Lytechinus pictus: one gene and its partner. Each later gene encodes a partner of the first gene's protein in a complex. Links are inferred from orthologs where the notes say so. Each region holds a gene or a part of one and is shown in the gene's direction. Other genes may lie near its edges.

Region 1 (7,982 bases):
TTGAAGAACATTGAAATTTCAAATCAAATCAAATCAATTTATTCAAATAAAATCCACAGTTTAGGATTGTCATCAAATATGATAAATAATGAACGTGGCAAAACAGATATATATACAGTATATATATATACAAGTAAATATAAGCAATCGCCAAAATATGTGTTCATTCGAAAAGAAAATACATTATTAAACATTTTGCCAAACTCTTACTGATTTCAAGATATTACAATTAAGTCATTACAACACGTCCATGGCGTCATCTATTAACACGAGTGTATCATAGTCCGTCATTATAATTACTCATATTATTTAGTTACATTAATTTTACTTATATCGTAATCATTACTTTTATTTGCATGATGTACAAGAAGTAACCTGATTCGCTCAGTTCTCTAAATGACGGCACTATGGTATAGGCCTATTATCATAATTTTTCTTGTTGCGGGTTAAGGATGGGCGCGAGTACGTTGATTGATTTCTAGTTGTTTTTGTCGCCCTTGTTCATTCATAAATTTACAATTGCTAATTCTTATCTTCAAATAATTCCTAACTTATAGATTATCAATGTCTAGTTATAAATATTTCTCTATGTAGGGCCTACGTTTAAGGTCTTTATATACGTTCTCAGTTTACTACAATAATTCTCTTCCAGTATCTATCTTCCTGAAACTGTACCCACTGATTTAACTTGATGTCGTTTAGGTCATTTAGGTTTTCCCAAATATGAGAATAACCTATATCTTTCATAGATATTTCTAGCTTTTGACAAAATCCGTTCTTTATTTTCATGTTTGATTGATAAATGTTAATTAGTAGGTTAGGCTTAGCCTTTGCATTTGTTACTTGACACTAAAATCCGATCATGTATTTTAAAGCTCGACATAGATAGTAATCAAGGTATATTTCACATTGTTGGTAAATCTCGAAGGGGTAAAAAAAGGGGGGGGGGGAAAGAAGAAGAAAAAAAAAGATTTTCTTCATTTTCACATTTTTTGATACACTTATGATGAGAACTCAACCCCATAAAAGTTCGCTTTGGAATGCCTGCCTTTTCTAGAAATCACATGTTTAGTGTTGATTTTAGGGATTTATCGGGTACCCTATGTACCGGGCCTATGTATACGGCTAATTCGATTGATGATAAATAGCTTACGGATAAAAAAAAATGTTTGTGATCTTACAATTCACAGGTTAGGTTCTAATCGTGCATCTTAAAATAAAGAAAAATTTTGAATTTTCAAAGGAGAACACGCCCAGATAGCAAAATATCTGGGACCCATATGGGTCCAATGTGGGTTATCTGGGACCCATATGGCCCATATGGAAACCATATGGGCTAGAAGTGGGTAGGTCCACATGGGGCCCATCTGGGTTATATCTGGGCCCATATGTACCAGATGAATATCATCTGGGCTGGAGATGGGCATTTCCAAGTGGGACCCAGATGGGCTAAAATATGTGGGACCCATCTGGGTTATATCTGGGCCCATATGTACCAGATAAGCCTTCTGGGACCCAGATGGGTCACATCTGAGCTCAATATCTCTGGATGATCGATCTGGACTGCACTCATGAATATTCATTACAACAGTAAATGATCAAAATTTTAGCTAATACGGCTACAACAATTAATATGTTTATGTTTAAGCAAGGATTCCACCATGAAAAGTTTCAGAAAAGTATGTAATTTATTACCATGAAATTAAAAATCAAAACATTTAATTTCAGGAGAAAATTTTCAAGGTTAAATATTGAAAATTGTTATTAACCATAGCCTGTCAAGTATAGCAAACTCGCTCTATATATAGAAGTCAATAACAAGATTCAGTGGTTAGGTGTAGGATAGGATAGGATTAGGATTTAGGGTTAGAATGTAGGATTATAGGATATGATAAAATGATAAGGATTAGAGTATTGGGTTGTATAGAAAGTCACCTTAATGATACAAATTAATATATTTTTTTTAATTGATTAAAACATCGTGGACCCACATGGCCCACATGGGACCCATATAAAAACACAGTATTGTTTTCATATGGGGCCCATATGGGAGCAATGTGGGCCTGCCCATATTCAACCCACACTAAACCCACTTGGCCCAAATGGGCCCCACATAGGGTGTACATATGGGTCCCAGATTGGCCAAGTGGGGCCATACATAGCCCAAATGGGTCCCATATGGTTTACATGGGTACGATGTGGGCCTGCCCATATTTACCCCACGCGAAACCCTGGCCCATATGGGCCCCAGACGGGGTGTACGGTGCAAAAAACACATGGGTCCCAGATGGGCCAAGTGGGGCCATACATAGCCCACATGGGAAATCCATATGGGGCCCATATGGGAGCAATGTGGGCCTGCCCATATTCAACCCACACTAAACCCACTTGGCCCAAATGGGCCCCACATAGGGTGTACATATGGGTCCCAGATTGGCCAAGTGGGGCCATACATAGCCCAAATGGGCCCCATATGGTTTACATGGGTACGATGTGGGCCTGCCCATATTTACCCCACGCGAAACCCTGGCCCATATGGGCCCCAGACGGGGTGTACGGTGCAAAAAACACAAGGGGCCCAGATGGGCCCATACATAGCCCACATTGGCAACCCATATGGGGCCCACATTTTTAGCCCTGATAAGCCCACAAGTAACCCATATGGGCCCCATATATTTTGCTCACTGGGAATCTTCCTGAGATTGACTTTTGAGAGCACGGTTATATACACGATGCTTCTGTCTGATCTTGCTCTTAATTTCCCTAGTGATGTAAGGCAGGTTGAATCTAGTACTGCTCATCTTACTAGGGATATACTTCTCTTTTAGGTATGTCAATTTACATGTCAATGATTCCCAGTTCAAATTGACAGACTTGGTACCAGGACTGTTGATGAAGAATTCTTCAGAAAAGGACTAAAGCTCAGTTCTGATCTTATCAAAGTTTGCCTTCTTATAATTGTAGACTCTGTGAGCTTTACTTTTTTGATGTTTGACAGTACCAGTGAAGTCAATCTGAACAACAGAATCATGATCGCTGATCCCTGGAATCGGCTTAACAGAGTCAATCAATGTAGGATTAGTAGTAAATAAAAGATCTAGCATATGCTGTTGTCTCGTTGGGAAGTTCACGACCTGTTGGAGATTATGGTGGCTAGCAATATCAAGAAGAAGGGTGCATGGTTGGGTACTACTTTTGTAGACTCTTGCAGGGCAAGGCTTGACTGAATCAGAGTCCCAATCAATGTCCGGCATGTTAAAATCACCAGCAAGTACCTTGTAAGCATCAGGAGGAAGTTTACCCAAGGAAACTTCAAGCCCAGGGAGGCCATATTAGGATCATTATATAATGGGGTTGTAAAACACTCCGAGATATACATCTTTCTGGCCATGGGACCTCAGCTTAGTCCAAAAGTACTTCGCAATCAGCGTCATATTCAGGAAGAGCTACTGCGAGCAGCGTTTTCCTAACTGCAATGAGGACACCTCCATGACCATCATTGCGGTCTTTCCGCCATACGTATCAAGATGTGTTAGAAAAAGCTCAGAGTTAGAAATAGTATCATTTCCCCAAGTTTCAGTTCCAAATATTATATCTGGATGAACAGAATTTATAAGATTGGATAGGGGTTCGACTTTGCTTCTGAGACCTTGGAAATTGATGACTACAGCTCTCAGTTTCCTATTACCAGATTGCGGGGACTTCTTACGAGAAGGTGAAGGTTTGTCACCACTCGTACTCGTTGGTGAGGACATATAGCAATTGGTGCGAAGAAGGGAGACTTGTCCTCAAGTAGAGAGGAAAAACTGTTCGAACATTCAATCTCAGAGGAGCTATCGAATAAGGACGCTGCTTTGAGGGGTTTGCCCCATCATATTTTTGTTTTATTCCTCATTAATTTATTTTTCATAAAAAGTAGATATCTAACGTTAAAATTGTACCACTTACGGCTTTTAAGGACACGCCCACGCCCACTTATATGCATGCGCAAACCTATGGCCCATGGCGCAGACGCACGCGGGGTGAACTCCAGCTCCAGATACCGTGTATACGGCATACCGTACAGATACGATATCGATGACCAGAGAGAAAACGTACGGATGCGATGCGCTTGCTCAGTTTTGAGCATAGAGATGTGGTTTTGAGCTAGTTCGGAATCTCTGGGCGGATACGCCCCCGATCTTTGCTAATACAAAACCGACTCATGCAGAGTTTCCTGGCGCTAGCGCATATTGCGCTATAAATCAAATGCATAATGCGCGCGCGTAGGAAACGTTCACTACATTCCCGTATGTTGCATTGTCGCGAGTCTGCGATTGTACCATAGACCCAGGACTAAGAAACCTTCAAATTTCACCTTTTCAGCATCGGTGTTGTTTTTTATAAGAAGCACAATGATCTCCAAAATTCAAGGATGAAAACGGGTGAAGTCCAGGACGCTGGATTCGTCATTAACCTTGTGGATCGACTGTGAAACTCGAGTGGTATTGTCACCACAGAGCCAAGGAGTGCAGGCCACCCGAGTCTAGCCGGCTCCAAGTCCAACATTACCGGTATCACTTGCTGTTGAAAATGCAGTCATTCGCCATGTTCGACTCGGACGATGGTTCGGAAACCATCGAAGAGTTACGGGTTGAAATCAGCCGTTTGAAAGAGGAACTCGCTTTGGCCAGCAGAGAGAAAATACAGGCTGCTGAATACGGTTTAGTTGTTCTTGAAGAAAAGCAGGCAATAAAGCAGCAATATGAAGACCTTGATTTACTCTATGAAACTTGTAAACAGGAGCTTCAGATGGCAAAAGAGGTAGGCCCTGGCCTAGTAGTACTAGTAGTGTATACCCAGTTGTTGTGTGTCCGGACAGGTTGTGTGTCCGGACGATCAATTTTAGAAAGTCATTTGGAAAAATTTACAAGGAAAGTTTTATCAATTTTTAGTACAAAATGTCAGGAAATATTATAGAGAACAAAATAGAAGATGATTACAACTATTGATTTCGTATTTGTAGTGTAATCCAATGACAAAAAAGAAGGCTTCAAAAATATAAAGTGTCCGGACACCCGATCCCCCATCCTACTACTAGTAGTGGGGCGGTATTCTGAAAATCGTGTTAACTTTGGTGTTAAATATCGTTGTTATGTCTCTGATTTAACACGCCCCTAACATACCCCCAAATCGGTATTCTGATAACCATGTTGTTATCATCATTTCGTGTTATCTTCAGCTCCTTGCTCCTACTCCGAGTCCTAGTAGAGTCCTAGCCTGGAGGCGTCTGGGGAAGTATAAGTCATCTACTCTACGTAGCCGTAGGCTTACTCCCCACTGACGCCTGGGACGCCAAGGTATATTCACGCACGTACGGCCACAAAACCTGAAACTTTGGCTCCCGAGATTTCTACTTTCCCTCTAAAAAAAAAAAGATCTAGCCCTAAGTAAAACATGTATGGCAGTGTATCCTAGGCTATTGGCATTGCCGGACACCTTTATTTCAGTGCTTTAAAAATGACAACTAGAGGAAATACAATCAAGAAAAATTCACACTTGCTATTCCAAATATGAAAATTATGAATATGATAAAATTATTTTATATTTACCAACCGTTTTCTTTGCATCGCACTTGTCGCATACCCCTCCACAAAAAACAATTATTTTTGTGCGCGACAAATTACATCATGATTCCGGACGCGCGCCGGACGGGTAAAGATATCCTTGATTATAATGATGTAAGAACAAATTTTTGTGATTTTTTTCTTATATCATATCATGAGTAAATTCTAAGTATTATTTGCTTTTTTTATATCGAATCTGAGCAGATGTTGGTAATAAATTCGTGTTTGATAACTTATTTTATTTTGTCTTGTTAGCTGCATGTTCCATGGCACTTTCCAATAATAATATGCTCGCGTTCGTATCGTGACGCTCATCAAGTTCTATCGATGCGCTGCCAATCGACGGCTCTACTCACGGTAAACCTCGCGCACGGGTACCTTGAGAACTAGCCGTCGACGATCACCCACAATACACCACACCTCATCATTCGATCGAAGGAGTGGACGAGATTGAAATTCGGCAAATCAGGACCATATTTCCGTTAGAAAATATATCAATTGTTAATACAAAACTATGTTATATGATATTTTAAGCATTTTCTGTAATTTTTAGAGATAATTAGGTAAAAGTTTGATTTTTCGCCTTGTTTTTGCAATCTTGTTCTATGTATTGCTCTGTGAAATTGAATTGCGGAAGTCTTACGGTACGAATTTGTTTTAGAACGCAGTGATACGCGCGTCCGGTAACATAATAGTGTCCGGTAATACAATACGTGACTTAGACCAAAAGCTTCAGTCTCTGTATTTTGGTTGTTCCGCTGAACTGCGTTGGCTCACTCACAAATGGGGATTATAGTAAAATGTCAGAAATTGTTGAATAAATCCCCAGAAACGACGGTTATTCCTGTCTATACGTGACTATACATGGGGTTCAACTTCATTTCCAACATTTCTGTGATATCGATTTTGTTTTTAAAGAAGAATTCAATAAAAAAACGAGAAAAATGTTATGAAAAGATGGGAAGTGCTGACGGCCGTGTTTACGTCGCCATCTTGATTTCTTTGTCTTCCGCTTGGCGACAGCGCAATTTGCGTGCTGTCGCCAAGCGGAAGACAAAGAAATCAAGATGGCGACCTAAAGACGGCCGTAAGCTCTTCCCATCTTTTCATAACATTTTTCTTGTTTTTTTATTGAATTCTTCTTTAAAACCAAAATCGATATCGCAGAAATGTTGAACTCCATGTACATGTTTTAGGGCTAGATCTTTTAGAGGGAAAGTAGAAATCTCGGGGGCGAAAGTTTCAGGTTTTGTGGCCGTACTTGCGTGAATATACCTTGGCGTCCCAGGCGTAAGTGGGGAGTAAGCCTACGTAGAGTAGATGACTTTTACTCCCCAGACGCCTCCAGGCTACATGTAGCTCCTCCCACATGTCCCACTCTGCATCTACCGTACTGTATTTAATCCAATCAAATGCGTTGTAGTGTTAAAGAAAAGATCGCGCAAAATTTTCAGGGGAAAAAATGAGTGCGAACGCGGTAACATGAAGTCTGCATTGTGAGTCCAGGTTTTTTGACAGTTCACTTATTAATGAGTTTTAATATTGTATGACTTTTTAAGTTAGTTTTTTCATGCTTAGAATCTTGGATGTGGGTGTGACTGTGAGTTGAACTTGGATATAAATGAATTCAATATCTAATTTCTACTCCATCTATTCCAGTACAATAACCTGTACTCGGCCATGTAATAAAGGCCCACATACCCTAACTTTTCCTGAAGTTCTTTGAAAATGCAGATCTCCACGAAAATCGCATTTCTCTATGGGGGAGTCTAAATTTGGTGAGAATGAACTCATTAATAACTGAAATATACATGGCAATGAAGAAATTAGACCAAAAGCTTCGGTCTCTGTTATGTTGGTTGTTCAGCTGAACTCCGTTGGCTTCACTCACCAAATACAGAGACCGAAGTTCTAGCGCGATCTGTACAGGGGACTCAATGGCCATATGTTTATGTATATAAGTTCGGATAAAACAGGGAGGTGAATAGGGTTGCAAAGGACTGGAAACTTTCCGGAAATTTTGGAAAATTTCCATTTAAAGTTTCGGGAATTTTCAGGAATTTTCATTTTTTCACAAAAAGTGATAAATTCTCTTTTTAAATGCAAAATTATAAATTGATATCCTAAAATATCATATTTTCCATTTGTATTTTTACTATTCTTCATTTTTTAAATTGCCTAGGGTATAAAATATTCATCAAACTGTACATAAATACATTATAGTACATGTACCCGGTATATGTAGTAACATGATGGAGCATTATGTACAAAATGAAGCTTTTCAATTCAACATGAAAAAAATAATACTTTGCATTACACTTTTTTTTCATTTGTCTTTAAATGTTATTGTTTTTTATGTGAGAACCTGCCATTATA
Region 2 (8,363 bases), on another chromosome or scaffold:
AATGAAAAAGAAACAAGAGACATCATATATCATTATTATTTCATACCCATTCAAACTAATGTATTCTGTGAAATATTAACTGTAACTAACTGAAATAATTGAGTATGTTTTGATGGAACTAAGTTTTCCCTTTAAAATTCATAATGTATAAAGGGTTATTAGCTATATATGGATTGAGAGATCATGAAGGAATTTTGAAAATCTCAAAAACATGTTGAATTCAGCAGATAAAGTGAAAATGTAATGTTTGAAATACAACTATTTATATAAGTATATGAATGATGAAAAATAACAAAAGTCCCACATTGGATATTAGAAAAAAATATACTCAAGTTGCCCTTTTCACCATGTATCATTTTATTTTATGATGTGCTGATACACTGCTGCACAATGCAAAAAAATACAAGATCAACAGTCATGACCAACAATGATGACAGACATAGATCTAGATCAGTTGCATCAATTGCATGTTCAGTCAAACCTGTAAACAAGAACCATCTGTCTATAAAGACCACAGATATTATTTCCCTTTACTAATTTTTCAAATTCTCAACATGTATCCATACAGACGACATGCTCATTAGATTGTTTTTCTTGTCTCCTGGGATAGTCTTAATACACATCCTTTTACTCTAATTTGAAAGCACACTTGGTGACTTACACAACTTGATGCCTAAGACGAAGACTCTCTTCGATCATCCTACGGACAAATTCTACCTCCCCTCCTTCCGAGATCATCTCCAGTTCGGCAGCAGTGCTCACTGACTTGGGCTCAGGTCGACTCATGCTGCGAGATGTCATAATTCCTTGCGCTTCCAGAGAATTGCCAAAGAAGGGTGGGTTGCACATCGTGAAGTGGTAGAGATGCTGTCTGGAGGGGGCGCTGTTCAATACATCTTCAAACATACTGCCTTCACATGTCTCCACAACTGTAGAAGCAAAAGAAATAGTCAAGTTGACATTGTGGCATCTTGACAATCAGCTATGACTACATTTTGACAGACTTAATGATAAAAAATCAGGTTAAAAATATCACCTGTAATTACAGTTTGGATTCAGGACTTACATACATAGTTGCTTGTCAGCATAAGACCGCATTTTCAAGAGCTTTTCAAGCAATACTTCACTGATTTAAGTAATGTCAGACAACATTACAAAGTCAAAAAATCTTCATAATCATATGTACTGATTGATACAGGTATCTTAAGGAAACCCCAGAAACAATGAGGATGTTTTATCTGCTTAAATGAACATCGAAACCCCTCCCATCCAACATGTGACTATCTTCAGGGCAACCAAGAAACCATACTAACACATGGTAGACAAGTCACATTTCTATAATCTTTTATATGATGAAAACACTGTGGTATGTTTTAAATGTTGTCCAATGATGAATTGGGGTGGGGAGGGGAGCCATGGTTCTTGGAAAACTTCCAAGGCAATTTGGAATTTGTGTTCAAATATAAATTTGTTGCCCTTTGGGTAAGGTGATCTCTAGGGAGACACTGAGGGAACTTGTTTCCATCAAGGGAGATGCTTTCTATGAAAATGTTCAATGGGCAATTTTATCTCAGGGGGAGTAACATATGACACCTTTCCACTCATAGTAAAGACTTGATTAGGTAGTTGGATCTCCTTAAAAAAAAAACAGACAATCAGAGGATAAATGAATGATCTATTATTACCTGTTATTTTATCCTGAAGTCCATTACTTGTGATGTTCTCCTTAGAATAATGAATAGCCAAGGCATCTACCTCTGATGCAATGAAGTTCCATCCGTTCAACTGAGCACCAAGTAATGGATATATACACGATGCACCACAACCTGGAATATTAAAAAAAAAACAATGATATCAGGCATTCTGTAGAGGTATACAGCTTTCATTACGTTAGGATTAATCTACTTCTACTCTTCAAATTGGCAACATTTTTCTTTCACTATACTTTTTAAAGAAAGAAATAGAGATATAACACAAGGAAAAATGAGTGATAATGGCAGAATTTCAAAAGTTGCCAATTTTCCATTTTTGAAGTGATTTTATTGTTTTCTTCACGTTGTAAATTCAGAGTGTGAACTGATTAAAATAAATTCATTTTACAGAAGAAAATGCAGAAGCATTGGTCAATCTAATCTAAGATGCAAGCTTTGATAATAATTGTTTTTACGCTGTACAACTGCATCAGACCAATTCATAACCATACAGAACAAAGTGTCTGTACATAACACAACGATGTAACATTGTGGGCAGATAAATTCAAGCAATAAAATTTAACAGCATCAGACAGTCAGGTACAGGTGGATCAACCATTTTGTATAAGACCTATATCAAATGGGTTTGTTTTAGCCAGTGGCCAAATTGTGATCAACTTAAATTTAAATGGCTTGCAATTGCTCCTGGAGATCATAAGTTGTTTGTCGAATTTCTTTTATAACATTGTACATCACTCCATAATAACTAGCAAGTAGCATTTTAGTAGTAGTAGTAATTTTATCCATACTGCATTATATAACAGCATTTACAAAGCAAAGGGCAACCAAATTTTAATTATAAAGAAGAAATAAAGAAAATACAGGAAATCAGGAAATGTTTTTAGGACTTTCTTCGAGTGATCTGTAAAGTTCATTGATTTGACGAAAGAGGGGATGTTCTTCTATTCTTTAGATGCGGTTACAGTAAATAAGTGATCGCCAGTGAGTCTTTGGAATGGCAAGCGAAAATGTGGGTGAGATGACTATCACCTGATTATTCATAGCGAAATAAAAGTTTGAGAAGATTCTCACCAATGTCAATGCCCCACACCGTCCCTTTGCTGTGGCCAGTCGATGCTAAGAGATCCTCTATCCAGTGAATGTAGTTGAGCCGTAGTGACAGGGTCGGGATGAGACGATCAAGAGGTAGCTCAACCTCTAGTCCAAAGTCTTCCTTCAGGAGCGTGCAGGTTAGTGACCTCAGCGACTCAGAATCATGGAAGTCAAGGGTCGCCTTGCCTGTTTGGTTCCTGATCACATGACGTGCAAACTCTGGATATTTCTTTGCTAATTCATCAAAGTTTGGTTTGTTGTCCCTATAGCGGTTGCGAGGGTGCATGAATTTGTTGAAGGCCATTATGCCTAACGTTAGATGTCTAGATCTAGATCTAAAAAAAATAAATAAAGGAAACACACGATAACAGGTATCAGAGTTGAGTTGGTACTGTAATAATAAAAAAAACATGCTTTAAAATGCATTTTGAAAAAAAAACTGTGTTACGCTTTTAGTTTGGTGGGGTAGACCTAAATATCTTGAATTATAATCCAGTATTATCCAACATTTTTTTTAATCTTTAAAAAAGTGTTTTGAATTTAACCGACACTTTTTTTTCTAAAAAAAGTGGCTGATTCTTTGTGAAAATTTTTGTTTGTTTAAAAATAACATCACTTATCTTACAAATTTATAGTTTGGAATAGACTACAAACATTTATTCTGAAATTTTCAGCCCATTCCAAGCATCTATTGTTGATTTAAGTTAGTTAGGCTAATAATGTCACCATTTTGGCGATAAAGCTATTTTTATAAATCCAGCCCACACACACAGTTAATTTTTAGGCATGCTTCACATGATAAAGGCCTAGTTACTAGTCAGATCTATGGCTATGCATTGCATGTATCATTTCAGTGCATAATACTAGGCATAGGCCATAGTAGACAGCTGGCAGCCGTCTGTTTCGAGGAGTTTTTTAACATTTTTTTTTTTTTTTTTTTCTCCTCATACACAGACGGCTCGCTAGCGTGCAGCCACCATTAGGGGACTTGCAATGCAAAATCCCCCCGTCGGGGCTCTTCAATTTTTGTCTTTAATGAGTAAAAATTTTGAAAATTCACGCGACCAAAATGCAAATTAATATTCCCTCTTGGCATCAATTGCCAAAAAACTGAGAAAAATCAAGTTAAAAGGAACAAAAACAGTGACTTACCTCGGCTGTCGCGCAAATTCACTTCCCCGTTTTATCCGATCTTAAGTACATAAACATATGGCCATTGAGTCCCCTGTACAGATCGCGCTAGAACTTCGGTCTCTGTATTTGGTTAGTGAAGCCCGGGGGGGCCACTTACATTGACGAGTGGATACCATGCGCGACCAAAAAAACACGTAAAAAGGATGTCTTTTTCACGATAGGGCACGTTACGTACGTAACGTGATAAGGGTGTCAAAAACGCAATAATAATGAAAAAAGGGTATCTATTTCGCTAGGACAATTACGTGTTTAGGGTCGAATTTGCGGGGATGATAAAACAAAATTAAAATGTTTTATAAAGGATGTCCTTTTGGCCCCAACACTTCGTGTTTAGAGTCCGATTTGCGCGAGGTGTAGAAGGTGGGGTCGTACTAAACCAAATGAGGTAAAGCTGACGACCGAAGGACCCGTAACAATAAAACATTCCTGTACTTGTTTAGGGGTTCATTTCAGGGAATATTTGCCATGATCTCGTTTTGTTTCCAATACTTGTTAAGGGTAGGGTTTCACACGCCAATACTTGTTAAGGGGTGCATTTTCAGATTATGGAAATTACGTGTTTAGGGTGCTTTTTGAGACCCCATGGTCGCGCATGGTATCCACTCGTGAATGGAAGTGGCCCCCCTGGGTAGTGAAGCCAACGGAGTTCAGCTGAACAACCAACATAACAGAGACCGAAGCTTTTTAGTGAAGCCAACGGAGTTCAGCTGAACAACCAACATAACAGAGACCGAAGCTTTTGGTCTAAGGCCATAGCGGGTGCACATGCATATCTTATCAATACCGCGGCCGCGCCGCCGTGCCCGTGGCTGGCTAAAAATCGGCATTCATGTCCAAGGTAAATAAACGTCCTCAAATTTAGCAGTAATAACCGGTCACTTCAAAATACAAGAACACGCAAATTATCGGTAATATACACGTTTAGACGATACCTGATAGTGCTTTGAATAATGAGACAGCTTAAGTAATACTGAAAAATAATGGTATTAATACAATATCATTCTATAGATCAATAAAAATGCAATAAGAAACAGCCCAAATTACTGTTGATTTCCGAGTAGTTGCTGCTGCAGACGACGAAGAGACTTAGAAACTGCGCACAAGTTTTCTGCGCATGATATTGCAGACAAGTATCGAAAGGGATTCTGGGTAATTTTTCAACGTGTAGCAAATATATGTGAGTCGGAAATACAGCAACAATATGCGTTGCGAGAAAAATACTTCGAACCAACGGACGAATACCGGTTTATATACTTGATGTTTGGTTGTTAAGTTCTTTATTTTTCGGTGAGCGTTCTATTTTCATTGGAAATCTATAGAATTCGATTCTACATCTAAATAGTTCGCAATTTGGTTGTGTGCTAGGATATGTGTGAAGGAGAAGGTGTAACGTTAGTGCTGGGCAAATGTGCATTCCCATTCCGTAGGCGTTGACATTTGTTGTGCATATTCTGGCCAATGCATGCAGTGCAGTGCATGAGCTGAGTTGAGTGAGAGTGACGTGAGTGAGTGCAGAGACAGAGTTAGAAGGGAGCGCAACATTGCAAGCCAGGCCCAGTAGCAGTGCAGTCATGGAAGTGGTAGCTTCTGCAGTTCTTTACAACTACTGTAAAACTAAAAGTGGAAATTTTTGCGGCAAGATGAAGATCGGCGAGCACGAATTTATGAGCATCTAATCTATTTTAATGCAAGTTTTGAACCGCGGTTCAATTGTGTGTATCGTTTTGGCAAAGAGATTGCACAATTTGATTTTGACCTAGGCCCTATAACTTGTTAGATCTTGTATAGAGGGCGACATTTAAGCAAGTAAGCTTGAGCTCCAAAATCGATCACAAATAAAAAGACATGCACGCCATTGCGAGAATTTGTTCCAAAGCATTGAGATAATTTTTTCAATAGTCGCAGATCAGTATTTAAATTATGATTTTGGAATTTGGTTGAAATATAAATTGCTTTTGCTGTGCGAGATTGGTGAGTGTTAAGATCTGTTTAGTTTTTAAGAAGACGTTGGGTCGATCACCCAGGTTTGTTGATTGAACCCATGCACTTTGAATAGCCGTAATCCCCCTGGTCCTTTATATTATAGGTGCTCGGCCGTCCATACCAGGCCAGCAGTGCCTCCGTTTTGCCTTCCCCGAGTCCACCCTGCAAAGAAATGTTGCGCTAAATGTCACAAAAGCTCATGATTGGATCAAAACAATGCTGAATTACGCCGCTTTAGAGCTAGAATTATGATCAGAATATACAATTTCGTCGCTGAAATGTTAATTAAAACCATTTACAGATGGGGAAGAAGGAAGTGACTTTGGATTATGGAGAGTGCAGCGCAAATTCAAGAACTTGCGAATATTTTTTGAAGCCGCCAAGCGTGAAAAATTAATTCGCGAAAATAAGAGCGTTTACAGTACAGAAGGGTTAAGGTCCAATGACTAAATGGGCCAGGCCTGCTAGCTAGATCTAGTCTAGTCTTGAGGACTCCATGATGATGTTTTTTTTAAATATTTTGACATATTCATCATGGAGTCTTGAATCCCCATCCATATAAGAGACACATGTACACAAAGATGGATTTCCCAAGGAAATCCATAGTTAGAGGGTGAAATCGGTTTGTATTGTCCAATTTTATTTATGAACCTTCAGGCGCCTAATGCGTATAAAGGGATAAAAATTATTTCACTATAAATGGTAAAAATGAGATGTTTCTTACCAGACCCGATCTCCCGTGGATCCCTCGATCCGTTTGTCAACAAAGCAAAGACAATAGACTTGACCCTTGAACCGCTTCGTGATGACGTACTTCCGACTAGCGATGCCGTCTTGAAGAACAATTTATAGATAAAAATTATTATTTCACAAATACTAAAATTTAATACGTGATTATAAATAATAAGTAGCATCTAGGGAAAGTGATTTCTGTGTAAAAAAATTGCCTTTTCCTTTTCAGAAAATCTTAAAATCCGTTTCAGCATGTTTGAAAAATGGAAATTCCGTTGGAGTAGCAATGTCACAGTACTCGGGCTGGTCAGAATTTGTATCCGCCACTAACAACGCTTTGGAATCCACTCTAATCTGATCTATACAAACACAAAACAATTTTAAGAAACACATTTAATATGAATACATCCTAACCTTTCACATTATTAGCATTATTTAAGGGTTGAATGAAATTTTATTGATAATGTGGGGATTTTTGGACATCGTTTTGAGCAGTCGACGACTATTGCCTATCTGCCATTTTGTATTTGAGGAGTACCACGTTCGTGCTGTTACATCACCGAACTAGAGGGTAGCAACACGAACGTGTGTTGCTGCCTACTACGTACGTTGGTTATAATCAAACAATGTTTGGTCGCTTATTTCAGCTTGGGCTTGCGTTTGACCCGCTTGTACAATGTATTTTTGATGTATGATCAAGTGATGGAGTCAAGTGCAGTCACGATGTGTGGATTGTCATGATTGTAGCGAAGTGAGATCGTGTTTTGTGGCCAGTTAGTATTTGTATTTTGTTGAGATTTTGGAGTAATTTCTGTTGCTGTTCTATGCATTTTGAGTAAAGATATGTTTTCTGTGATTTTCAATTTGAAAAGCCACTTTCCGTTTCAAAAGGCAATTTTCAAAAAATCACTGTCCCTTGTAGCATGATCACAGATTTAAGTACAGCACGTCCCCCCAAAAAATGTCCCTCTGACATAGGGCTGAAGTAATTCCAAAATGTAGTATTTTTAATCAAAGGTACATGAGTAGAAAGCTTATTTCATAATCTAACTTCTTGAAAATGTCATTGGTCTCGCTTCAGCGGTTTTGAATACATACACTGTTACACAACAGTAGTGCATTTCAGGCCATTCCAAGTTTGCAACACTGCTGTATTTCTGCATTGTCTTTAACATGTTAACCTCCACTTAAATACTATCCAGGATTTGAGCAGGGACATTTTCCTGATCAATCCTGGCTCATCAAATCATAAACTTGAGCATGTGCAGAAGGGTAATAACCATCAAAAAAGAAGTTTTTATGATTGATAGGCGATCAGTGCACCAACTTGAAGGAAATTGTGAATATTGGATAATCATGGATGGATATGAATGACGGATAATTACAATAAGCTGAACTATGATGAAGAGCAAACCACAAGTGTATCACACCTTGTGAAAGCGAACATTACTTGTGAAAATATTTTTTTTTTTAATTCAAAAAGGTACAGTGAATTCATTGTTTTAATGATAAAAAAGAATTAAATCAAGAATGCATTATTGTTGGAATTAGGCATGAAATACATTATCAAACACAATTAATTGTCAAGTACTCTTGTCGCCCTTCTTAACCTGCACAAGGTTGTAATTTGATGAGCCTGGCTAGATCATG

Evidence for each region.
Region 2: protein bicaudal D homolog 1-like (region 1) and lissencephaly-1 homolog share a complex: the UniProt entries of both Caenorhabditis elegans proteins name them as parts of the dynein-regulating complex. The link is inferred for Lytechinus pictus from reciprocal best matches to the Caenorhabditis elegans genes bicd-1 and lis-1.

The regions. Positions count from the first base shown.
Region 1 is NC_087247.1:56,905,030-56,913,011, forward strand, and holds the start of protein bicaudal D homolog 1-like, read left to right. Parts: upstream 1-4,572; coding exon 4,573-4,803; intron 4,804-7,982. UniProt on the Caenorhabditis elegans protein: Part of a complex with dlc-1 and egal-1, which is recruited to the nuclear envelope by unc-83, where in turn, it recruits dynein to the nuclear surface and regulates nuclear migration in hypodermal precursor cells.
Region 2 is NC_087246.1:17,019,040-17,027,402, reverse strand, and holds the start of lissencephaly-1 homolog, read left to right. Parts: upstream 1-5,140; 5' UTR 5,141-5,285; exon of another isoform or gene 5,286-5,788; intron 5,789-8,363. Other genes in the region: RNA N6-adenosine-methyltransferase mettl16-like, read right to left, coding at 662-929, 1,686-1,826, 2,784-3,139, 4,992-4,999. UniProt on the Caenorhabditis elegans protein: Positively regulates the activity of the minus-end directed microtubule motor protein dynein. May enhance dynein-mediated microtubule sliding by targeting dynein to the microtubule plus end.